Ovis aries: one gene and its partners. The protein of the gene in region 2 purifies or fractionates together with the protein of the main gene of each other region. This does not show direct contact. Links are inferred from orthologs where the notes say so. Each region holds a gene or a part of one and is shown on either strand. Other genes may lie near its edges. The genes, in order: PNN, SNIP1 and NKTR.

Evidence for each region.
Region 1: the proteins of SNIP1 (region 2) and PNN purify together in Homo sapiens (affinity purification with mass spectrometry; 4 studies listed by BioGRID and IntAct, counting the BioPlex papers as one, with this or other methods). This does not show direct contact. The link is inferred for Ovis aries from reciprocal best matches to the Homo sapiens genes SNIP1 and PNN.
Region 3: the proteins of SNIP1 (region 2) and NKTR purify together in Homo sapiens (affinity purification with mass spectrometry; 3 studies listed by BioGRID and IntAct, counting the BioPlex papers as one, with this or other methods). This does not show direct contact. The link is inferred for Ovis aries from reciprocal best matches to the Homo sapiens genes SNIP1 and NKTR.

The regions. Positions count from the first base shown.
Region 1 is NC_056071.1:46,897,293-46,901,041, forward strand, and holds the start of PNN (pinin), read left to right. Parts: upstream 1-1,293; 5' UTR 1,294-1,373; coding exon 1,374-1,486; intron 1,487-2,140; coding exon 2,141-2,212; intron 2,213-2,588; coding exon 2,589-2,657; intron 2,658-3,454; coding exon 3,455-3,527; intron 3,528-3,643; coding exon 3,644-3,738; intron 3,739-3,749. UniProt on the Homo sapiens protein: Transcriptional activator binding to the E-box 1 core sequence of the E-cadherin promoter gene; the core-binding sequence is 5'CAGGTG-3'. Capable of reversing CTBP1-mediated transcription repression.
Region 2 is NC_056054.1:12,368,526-12,372,174, forward strand, and holds part of SNIP1 (smad nuclear-interacting protein 1), read right to left. Parts: intron 3,179-3,649; coding exon 3,076-3,178; intron 1-3,075. UniProt on the Homo sapiens protein: Required for pre-mRNA splicing as component of the spliceosome. As a component of the minor spliceosome, involved in the splicing of U12-type introns in pre-mRNAs. Down-regulates NF-kappa-B signaling by competing with RELA for CREBBP/EP300 binding.
Region 3 is NC_056072.1:14,760,448-14,764,096, reverse strand, and holds part of NKTR (NK-tumor recognition protein), read right to left. Parts: intron 2,949-3,649; coding exon of another isoform or gene 2,934-2,948; exon of another isoform or gene 2,889-2,933; intron 2,271-2,888; coding exon 2,125-2,270; intron 432-2,124; coding exon 1-431. UniProt on the Homo sapiens protein: PPIase that catalyzes the cis-trans isomerization of proline imidic peptide bonds in oligopeptides and may therefore assist protein folding. Component of a putative tumor-recognition complex involved in the function of NK cells.

The DNA of each region.
Region 1 (3,749 bases), on a different chromosome or scaffold from region 2:
TATATTTCCTTTGCTATACTCCAAATACATTGATTAATATATTCCCAAGTGCCTAAGGATATGGAGGCCTGGTGGCAATCATTGACTCAACAAGAAGAAAAAGTCCTATGCTAATTAAGACTCTCAAAATACTCCAAAACTCTGTGCTGTTTATGGTTGAGAGGTAGTAAACAATCATGTGCCTAGTGGCAGCAGTAAGGATAATCCTGTCACACAAGCTAGTCTGTCAGCAGAGAGGTTTGACCTGAGACATCCCTGTCCCACCCAGAGCAGGGAATTAGTAGCAATTATTGACACAACAAATGAAAAACCCTTCACCAATATAATTCCTAACCAACTATACTAATAATTTCTAACTCCCCAAAAGATTTGCCTTTAGTAAGTCTAAAACATCTCATGCCTCTCAGGTTAGGAGGCTGTAGACAATCACATGTGGCCAGACGAACCTATACAGGTGGGCTAGATAACCTTCAGAGGAGTCCGTAAGCTGAAACACTCTTGTCACGCCCAGGAATTTTTATTGCTTTGGAGCTGCACGTTTACTCCTTCTCAGAGAGAAACGGTTATGGGGGAGAGCCCCCCGTAAAGTCAGAGGTGTAGGTGAGAGCATAAAACCGACTCTGGTTTTGGGGTTAGATGCTCGGGAACAGGGGGTTTCCTGAGGCTTGATCACGCCTTTGCGTATGCCAAGCCTCCTTCCTCATGACCTTTGCCATGGGCGGAATTCCTCACGCTGCCCCCGGCAGGGGATAATGTATGTAAAGTGTTTCACAGAGTACAAAATAACTGTTAGCTATTAGGAGGAATGACTTTTCTTTCACTCTCTTCCCTCCGCTCTTTTAAGGTTTAACCTAATCAAGAGAAGTCTGCGCCCCTCCCACCGCCTCTCTGAGCATGCGCACCAACGGAATGGCCGCACCCTTTCCTAATCAAATCATTTACTGGGGGGAAGACGAGGAAATAGACTCGCTTGAACCCTACTCTGAGGGTATCAGGTGGTAAAATCATAAGAGGCACGTTCTCTACAGGTTAAAAGGGCCAGGAAGACCCCGCTCTCCTCACCAGAAGAGCTGGGCCGCGAACCCACGTCTCCGAGGACCCAGGTACTCAAACCCGCCCCAGCTCTGCGCTAGAAGCGGAGCCCAGCCACCCGCAGCTAATTGGGGAAGGAGGAGACCCCTGCCTCACTTTTCATTGGCCCAGAGTCACAAAGGCCGGCAGTTTCTCCCCCTTCCGGTTGCTGAGTGGTTGAGGCCGAAATACAACTCCTTTTGCCATTGGCCGAACCCAGCTGTCAGTCTTCTGGCGTCTTGCGGCGCGACACAGGCAGGCGCGGCCTATAGAGCAGTCTCGAAGCCTGCTGCAGGGAGAAGATGGCGGTCGCAGTGAGAACTTTGCAGGAGCAGCTAGAAAAGGCCAAAGAGAGCCTAAAGAATGTGGATGAGAATATTCGCAAGCTCACCGGGCGGGATCCGAATGACGTGAGGTAAGGAGTGGATGGGAAATGCTGGCTACCAGAGGCGGCCGTGAAGCCGGGGTGAATTGGGGGCGGGGAGGGCGGTCAGCCCTGAGAAGACTGGAACATCGAGGCCTGTTCGCGGGCAGCCGTGGGACCCTGTCCTCGGTGAGGTGGGAATTTCCAAGGCCTTCAGCGTTAAGTCCTGGGTCTTGGGTGCGTGAGGAAGGAGAGCGGAGCCTGGGTGCGCCGGGATGGTCTCCGGTCCTGTGGGAAGGCCGGGACTGCCGATTCCCGCCCTCGGCCCCGCAGGCCCGGAACTGCAGCACAAAGCCTTCCTCCTTCGCGGGCCACCCGATTCAGGGCTGGCCCTGGGACCTTCCGGGGACGCGGTCCGCTGCCTCACCCTCCGGCTCTTGCCCACGTGCAACTTTCTTTGGGTTGGTGAAATTTGAACCTGACTCAGGCCTGTTAACGTGTAGTGGTGTTAAGATAAATACAATTTTGTGAAACTGGTCTTGGGAAAACGAGGAAGTTAGTAAAGTGCTTATTGCCGTGTTTCGGGTTTGAAACCGTCATCTTGAAACTTTTCTGTTTATTTTCTCTTGATGGTGAACTGCACCCGTTGAAGTGTTTGGTGCTGTTAGAAACGATTGTTGAACTGATTTGTAAATTATTTTGTAGGCCCATCCAAGCCAGATTGCTCGCCCTTTCTGGTCCTGGTGGAGGTAGAGGACGTGGTAGTTTATTGCTGAGGTAAGATTTCCTTAAAATTTAATCTATTGGTACTGTACTAAATTAATGAATCGGTTTAAACAAATTTCTTGCTAGAGCCAGTGTTAAGAAAAGTTTGATTTGAAGCTGTGATTAGCTGTAGTTCTCTGTATGGTTAATTTACATACAGCTAGAGATTGAAGAATACGGTAACTATATCAGTTATGTGCAAACTTAATATATTCTCATAGATCTAAAAGAAATGCTATAAGAACATCCATCTTGAAGTAAATGTCCATTTGAGGTTACTTTATTTGGAAGAGGAGTTTTTAATAACAGCAACTAAATTATCTTCTTAAATAGAAATAACCATTTTTCTTAATTTTCATATGCTTTATGTTGGACATTTTTATTGCAGGCGTGGATTCTCAGATAGTGGAGGAGGACCCCCAGCCAAACAGAGAGACCTTGAAGGGGCAGTCAGTAGGTATGTTGGAGGACAAGATTCTGAAAGCATACTTTATTTTATGAGGTAGAATGTAAATATTTAATATTGTTGAATTGAGTTGTATTAGGATTGAGTAGTATATCACTTACTCTGAGTCTTTTCACTTGGTATTTGACTGAACTGAGATAGCCAGTATCCCTCAAAACTCAGTTCTTCATGGCAGTAACAGAAATCTTAGCACATGGAGAAGGAAATGGCAACCCACTCCAATATTTTTGCCTGGAAAAGTCCATGGACAGAGGAGCCTGGCAGGCTGCAGTCCACGGGGTTATATGACTGAGCACGCATGCATGATAGAGATTGGAGGGAGATGGGTTGGTAGCAGTAAACTGGTAGAACTAAAAAAAGAAAGCACAGTAAAGGTCAGGAGAAAGATAAGATGGAGGAGATTGTCTGTCTGTGTTACTTTCCTGTCTTATACTACAAAAGCTTAACTGGGTTGAGAGCTGCTGCTGCTGCTAAGTCACTTCAGTCGTGTCTGACTCTGTGCAGACACGACTGCGGCAGCCCATCAGGTTCCCCTGTCTCTGAGATTCTCCAGGCAGGAACACTGGAGTGGGTTGCCATTTCCTTCTCCAATGCAAAAGTGAAAATGAAGCCGCTTAGTTGTGTTTAATTCTTAGCGACCCCATAGACTGCAGCCTACCAGGCTCCTCCGCCCATGGGATTTTCCAGGCAAGAGTCCTGGAGTGGGCTGCCATTGCCTTCTCCCTGGTTGGGAGCTGTAGGAGATCAAAGTTTGAATTGGCCTTTTAAAATTCCCTTTCCTATGTCAGGCTGGGAGGGGAGCGTCGGACTCGACGAGAATCACGCCAAGAAAGCGACCCAGAGGATGATGATGTTAAGAAGGTAATTGAAATTAAAAGAACTTCATAGAGGGTGAATATAGTATTTTCACCTTACTACATTTAGTAGAGTGCTACCTGTATGTTAGTTGAATTACTGAGATTTCTTTTCTCCTGCAGCCAGCTTTGCAGTCTTCAGTTGTAGCTACCTCCAAAGAGCGCACGCGCAGAGACCTTATCCAGGATCAAAATATGGATGAAAAGGGAAAGCAAAGGTATCTTAAGT
Region 2 (3,649 bases):
GCCTGCATACCACAACAAGAGTGTCGCCTCTGCTCACTGCATCTAGAGAAAGTCCACTGCTGCTGCTGCTGAGCCGCTTCAGTTGTGTCCGACTCTGCGCGACCCCACAGACGGCAGCCCGCCAGGCTCCCGCGTCCCTGGGATTCTCCAGTCCACAACAGCAACAAAGACCCAGCACTGTCAAAAATTAAATAAAACTTGGAGGAAAGAGCACAAGACGATGACTGAACGCCTGTCCCTCAGGAATGAGGACAGGGCAGGAGAGCCTGATCTGACTGCTCTTGCTCCACTCAGTGCGAGAGTCCCAGCCATGCAGCAAGGGGCAATAAAATGAACATGCACTGGAAAGGAAGACAGACAGAACTGCCCCTGTGCAGACGTGACTATCTATGCAGAAAATCCCAAGTTTTAGGTTGGGATTTACTTAGGCCAAATAAATGAGTTCAGTAAGGCCACAGGGTGTAAGATAAACATACAAAAATGGATCATATTTCTATGTACTAGCCATGAACAAGTAAATACTGAAATTCAAAATATCACTTGCTGCTGCTGCTAAGTCACTTCAGTCGTGTCTGACTCTGTGCAACCCCATAGATGGCAGCCCACCAGGCTCCCTCGTCCCTGGGATTCTCCAGGCAAGAACACTGGAGTGGGTTGCCATTGCCTTCTCCAATGCATGAAAGTGAAAGTGAAGTTGCTCAGTTGTGTCCGACTCTTAGCGACCCCATGGACTAGAGCCATCATTTAATGATAACTTAAAAAAATTACTTAAGTGCAAATCTAGCAAAACACATACAGGACTTGTACACTGAAACACTGATAAAAGAAATCAAAGATCTAAATAAACAGAGATACACCTATATTCAAAGACTGGAAGACGCTACATAATTTTTTAAAATTTTTCAAAAAGTACAAGTTTAACACAATTTCAATCAAAATACTAGCAAGTTTTTTCAATAGATACAAACAAGATTGTTCTAAAATGTATGTGGAAAGATAAAGGCACGAGAATTCCTAAAACAATTATTTATTTATTTGGCCATGTCCTGTGGCATGTGCCTCCTTAGTTCCGCCCAGCCAGGGACCAAACCTATGCCTCAGAGTCTTAACCACTGGCCTACCAGGGAAGTCCCAGCAATTTTTAAAACGAAGAAAGTGAAAGAACCAGTCTGTTCAATTTTAAGACTTATTATATAGCTCCAGTAATCAAGACTGTGGTACTGGCAGAATGACAGATCAATGGCACAGAACAGAGGACCCAGAAATAAAGGCACACACACACACTTTTGATTTCTGACAAAGCAAAAGCAATTAAAGGGAGGAAAAATTGTCTTTCCACACCTAGTGCTGGAGTAAATGGATATCCACGGGGCGAAAAAGGAAATTTGATTTAAGGCTCCTTCCTTAGATTAAAACAAACTCAAAACAGATCATGGACTTAAATGAATATTAAAGAAAAACGTATCTTCAGGTTCTAGGGTCAGGGAAGTTCTTAGACATAACACCAAAAGCATAATCTGTAAAAGGAAAAACAGACAAGCTGGACTCCAAACAAATCAAAAACTTTTGCTCTGAGGAAAACTCTTTTAAGAAAATGAACAGACAAGATACAGACGGAAAGAAAATACTGGAAAACCTCTCACTCCAAAAAGGCCTGGTATCTAAGAATATATTACCAAAAAAAAAAAAACCTCTTAAAAATCAGTAGTAAAAAAACCCAAAACAATCCAACTAGAAAATAGGCACAAGATCTGAAGAGACATTTTACCTAAGAGGAAACACAGATGGCAAATAAACACATGAAAAGATGCCCAACGTCATTAGCCACCAGGGACATGCAAATTAAAATCACAGTATCACTATCACTTATCAGAATGGTCAAAATGGTCACAATACCAAATGCTGGATCACTCACATTATAAAAAGGGATAGCCACTGTAAGGACTGAATTGCGCCCCTTCCAAATTTACATACTGAAGTCTCAACCCCCACACCTCAGACTGTAACCAGATTTTTTGCAGGTAAGGTCTTTGAAGAACTGATTGAGTTAAAATGAGTAAGCCCCTAATCCAATATGGCTGATGTGGTTAAAGAAGATGTGAGTCAGAGATGGGCGAGCACAGAGGGAAAGACTATGAGGACCCAACAAAGAAGGCAAGCCAAGGAGAAAGGCCTCAGGAGAAACCAAACCGCTGAAACTTTGATCTCTGACTTCTAGCCTCTTAGATTCCGTTGTTTAAGGCAACCAGTCTGTGGTATTTTGTTATGGAAGACCTGGCAAACTAACACAGCACTCTGGAAAACAATTTATTAATGTTTTAGGAAAAAAAAAAAAAAAGCACCTACCATACCATCTACAAACTGCACTCCTGGGCATCTATCCCAGAGAAACGAAAACCTATGTTCACACAAAAACCTGTACAGAAATGTATACACAGCAGTCTTATGTCTAATAGCCAAAAACTGCTAACAACCCAGATACACTTTAATGGACAAATGGTTAAATCCATACCATTGACTACAGTTCAGCAATAAAAACGAAGGAACTACAGACAAAAGCAACAATATAAATGAATTCCAAAAGAACTTAGCTGAGTGGAAAAAGCCAATCCAGAAAGGCTACATACTGTGTGATTCTATTTACATAGCATTCTTGAGGAAACAAAATAACAGAAATGGAGAAGTGACTAGAAGCTGCCAGGAGTTGGAGGGGTAAGGGTAGGCGGGAACTGGGTGTGATATAAAAGAACTACTTGAGGAATCCTGTGGTGATGGAAATGTTCTGTATCTTGACAGAACTGATGTCAACATTTTGGTTGGGATATTGTTCTATAATTCTGTAAGATGGTACTATTGGGACAAACTGTGGCTTTTGTATTACCTTTTACAACTGCATGTGAATCAACAATTATCTCAAAATAAAAAGTTTAACAAAGAAAGAAGAAAAAAGAAAAAAAAAAGCCCAGTTTTTGGAGAAGCCCACTGCAGGTACAGGAAAACACACACACACCACTTTAGCTATGATGGAGAGGCTCTAGGTTTGGAGCCAGTACGAAAACATCTCAGTCCACTTACCTGCTTTATTTTGATTGCTGAGTGGTGAGGACTTCGGCTTCTCTTACTCCGGGGAGACTTGCTTCTTCTCCCTGAGGATTTGTTTTTCTTTTTGGCTGGGGACCTGTTCAGAAAATGGTACACACATTTATCTCAACTTTCATTCCCTCATACAAAACAGCTCCAAGCATCAGGCATATCCAACTAACACAAACACCATGTCTTTGCTGATCACACTAAAAGAATCAGGAGCTTCACTTTTCTGGTCCTATGTCTTCCACATACGTAACTGCCTACTAGAACTTCTCACTTAGATAGCAACTCTAGATTCCCAACCACCCAAGACACTTTCCTCTGTTTTCTGCCAGCTGGATAATTAGTGCCACCATCCACCCTGTTCCTCAGGCAAAAAACCTAGAAGTCACCCTGATTCTTTTTCTCCCCTCGACCAACAGCCCTCCATGCTCCTTCCCCACACAATCACGATCTATCAGCAAAGTCTCTGGCTCTGTCTCCTCGCTCTCCAATGTCATTCCTACCACTCTCCTTGATTACTATACTGGACTTCCCCTCTCACCCCCATTTCTAGAAGAAC
Region 3 (3,649 bases), on a different chromosome or scaffold from region 2:
CTCTAGAATAAGACTGAGAGTGAGATTTTGATCTGTATGAGTCTCTGCTGGAATGGGTTGAAGAGCTCTGGTCATCCTTATCAGATTTAGACCAATCCCTCTTGGACGAGTGATGAGATGACGATGAGGAAGAATGAGATCTCCTTTCTCTATCACATGAAGATTTCACTCGTCGGGTTGAAGATTTTAAGGATTCTATGTCAGACGGTACAATAATCCTTCTTTTCTTGGTCTGTTTGTGCCTTCTGCAATGTTTCTGCTTTTTAGCTTTCTTTTTATGCTTAATCTTTTTCTCTTTTCTGCGTTTTTTATGGTGACCATCAGAGTGTCTTGCTGTACTCAGATCTGAATAATATCCATTATAGGACCACGATCGGGATCTCTGGGACAAGCTCCTTTCATCCCATCGGCTTGAAGAGGGGTCACTTAACCTATAAAAAGGACATAATATGCAGGCAGTTATTTACAAGCATGTTTTCTAACCTTTAAAATTAAAACACATTTGTTGTCAATACTAGGCATCAACAAAAGCCTAGTTAACAACCAAGTACTAACTCTTATTAATGCTTTAAGCACACGTAGGAAGGATAAAGCAAATAGTTGATAGGCCTGGTCCTGAAATTATAAAACTTCAAAGAAATAACTATTAACAGATTCACTTACAAAAGGATTTTTCCAAAGTCAAATCAGGAATTTTCAAATTTGATAGGAAATAGTTTTGAAAAGCAAACCAACTAATTACAAAAGCACTGCTGACCTACCAAATTCCTGGCTTTGATCTGCTCAATAATGCTCTGCCTTCAGGAATAATTTCTGAGGGAGTCAAATCAAGTTCCCAAACAATTTGCTGATTCTCTGTAGATATAGGATAACTGCCAAAACTTTAAGAGAAGCCTCCTTTTTTTTGGCTGCATGACTTGTGAAATCTTAGTTCCCCGACCAGGGATGGAACCTGGGACCTGGCAGTGAAAGCTCCAAGTCCTAATCACCTGATCACCAGGGAATTCCTGACAAGCCTCTTTTTCTTTCTTTTTTTAAAAAATAACCTTATTTATTTCTGGCTGTGCTGGGTCTTCACTGTTGCAGCATATGCTTTCTCTAGTTGTGGCGAGTGGAAGCTACTCTAGTTACAGTGTGTGGGCTTCTCATTATGGTGGCTTTTCTTGTACAGGCTCTAGTGCACATGGGTTTAAGTAGTTGCGGCTCCCAGGCACAGACTCAATAGTTGTGGCACACAGGCTTAGCTGCTCCAACGCGTGTAAGATCTTCCCAGATCAGGGATTGAACCCGTATCTCCTACACTGGCAGGCAGATTCTTTACCACTGAGCTACCAGGGAGGCCTGCCTCTTTTTAAGAAACTAGCATGACTATTGTTTTATCTCAGGATCATAGAGGTAATCATAGACTTTTCATTAAGGTTTTAGTTAAACTACTTAGTACAGAAATTGGGAGAAAAGTACACGAAAACTAAGATGCAGGCTTTACAATATCAGTGCTAATGTCAGGGCTCAAAACTGTTCTCAGAGCTACCATATCCATACCGCTTGCACACAGCACATCACACACCTTGTCCTCCCTCTCTGAACTCTGAACCATTCCGCTGGATGGCCACAGAGAAAGACAATTCTACACAGGGTCCCACTGATATATTTTGCACTAGCTATTCTGGGGCCAGCCCCACTTTTAAAATAGATAATCCACTGTGGAGTGTCACTGAAGACAAGAGATGGGTACACTGCTGAAGAAGCAATAGTCCCTAGGGTCAGACGTTAACACACACACTGGCTACAAATTTTCTTATCTACCATTAGTGACTAAAAAAAAAAGGCTATGAGAGAATCTGCTACGTAATTTTTAAAAATAAAGTCCTGATTATTGCTAAAATTAAACAAGAAATCTTTAAGAAATTCAGTAGGGTAATGCTCTTGTGAGAGAAAACAGAATTTTGATTTAAAAGTATCCAAAGCCAATCATCCCTCCTTCCATTTCATCAAGCATTCCCAAATGTATTCTCTGGTCACAATCTAATTTTAAATATAAATCTTTAGTGAAAAAACCAGAAGTATGTCTCTATCCCCTTAAGACTTAAAATACAGCAGAGAAAGGATTGTACTTTTACTTACTTATCTCCTTTACTCCATTTTTCTCCACTAGGTGGTCTATATGCTCTTAATCTCTGCATTTCTTCTTTCCAGTGAGGAGGAGTTTCACTGCTATCATCATCATCTGATTCAGAACAGGATCTTGATCTTGGAGGTGTGTGATAGCGCTTTAAAAACAAAGTTAGGAATAACTATTTAAAAAATACTTCCCAACTGTAATCTGCTATAGGACAGCTAAGTATAAGACTCAATCTTGGATGCCATTCAAACGCAATAATGACTGAAGTACCATAATGATGGTATAAAGTTAAATCAAACTAAAAGAAATAGGAAAAGCAGATATTCACCTATAATCACACACAAACTTTTCCTTAGAAGTCCTAATGATTATACTCATTAGCTTATTCAACATACTAAGATTTTTGAACATACTATTTCACATTCATTTCAATATTTAAACCCATTCAAACATAGCAGTAAACACTGATCTAACAGCAGTGCCTTTGCATAACTACATATTAACTAAGAGAATACAACTAGCTCCTTGGACAGACTTTGGACTATACCTAAGATTAATGCTAGGATTTGCCTACAGGTAAAAACATTTTTTTTTGGGTACAGTTCTTCTGTGTATTCTTGCCACCTCTTCTTAATATCTTCTGCTTCAGTTATGTCCATACCATTTCTGTCCTTTATCGAGCCCATCTTTGCATGAAACGTTCCCTTGGTATCTCTAATTTTCTTGAAGAGATCTCTAGTCTTTCCCATTCTGTTGTTTTCCTCTATTTCTTTGCATTGATCGCTGGGGAAGGCTTTCTTATCTCTTCTTGCTATTCTTTGGAACTCTGCATTCAGATGTCAGGAAGCAACAGTTAGAACTGGACATGGAACAGACTGGTTCCAAATAGGAAAAGGAGTATGTCAAGGCTGTATATTGTCACCCTGCTTATTTAACTTATATGCAGAGTACATCATGAGAAACGTTGGGTTGGAAGAAGCACAAGCTGGAATCAAGATTGCTGGGAGAAATATCAATAACCTCAGATATGCAGATGACACTACCCTTATAGCAGAAAGTGAAGAGGAACTAAAAAGCCTCTTGATGAAAGTGGAGAGTGAAAAAGTTGGCTTAAATCTCAACATTCAGAAAACGAAGATCATGGCATCTGGTCCCATCACTTCATGGCAAATAGATGGGGAAACAGTGGAAATAGTGGCAGACTTTATTTTTTTGGGCTCCAAAATCACTGCAGACGGTGACTGCAGCCATGAAATTAAAAGACACTTACTCCTTGGAAGAAAGGTTATGACCAACCTAGATAGTATATTCAAAAGCAGAGACATTACTTTGCCAACAAAGGTCCGTCTAGTCAAGGCTATGGTTTTTCCTGTGGTCATGTATGGATGTGAGAGTTGGACTGTGAACAAGGCTGAGCGCCGAAGAATTGATGCTTTTGAACTGTGGTGTTGGAGAAGACTCTTGAGAGTCCCTTGGACTGCAAGGAGATCCAACCAGTCCATTCTGAAGGAGATCAACCCTGGGATT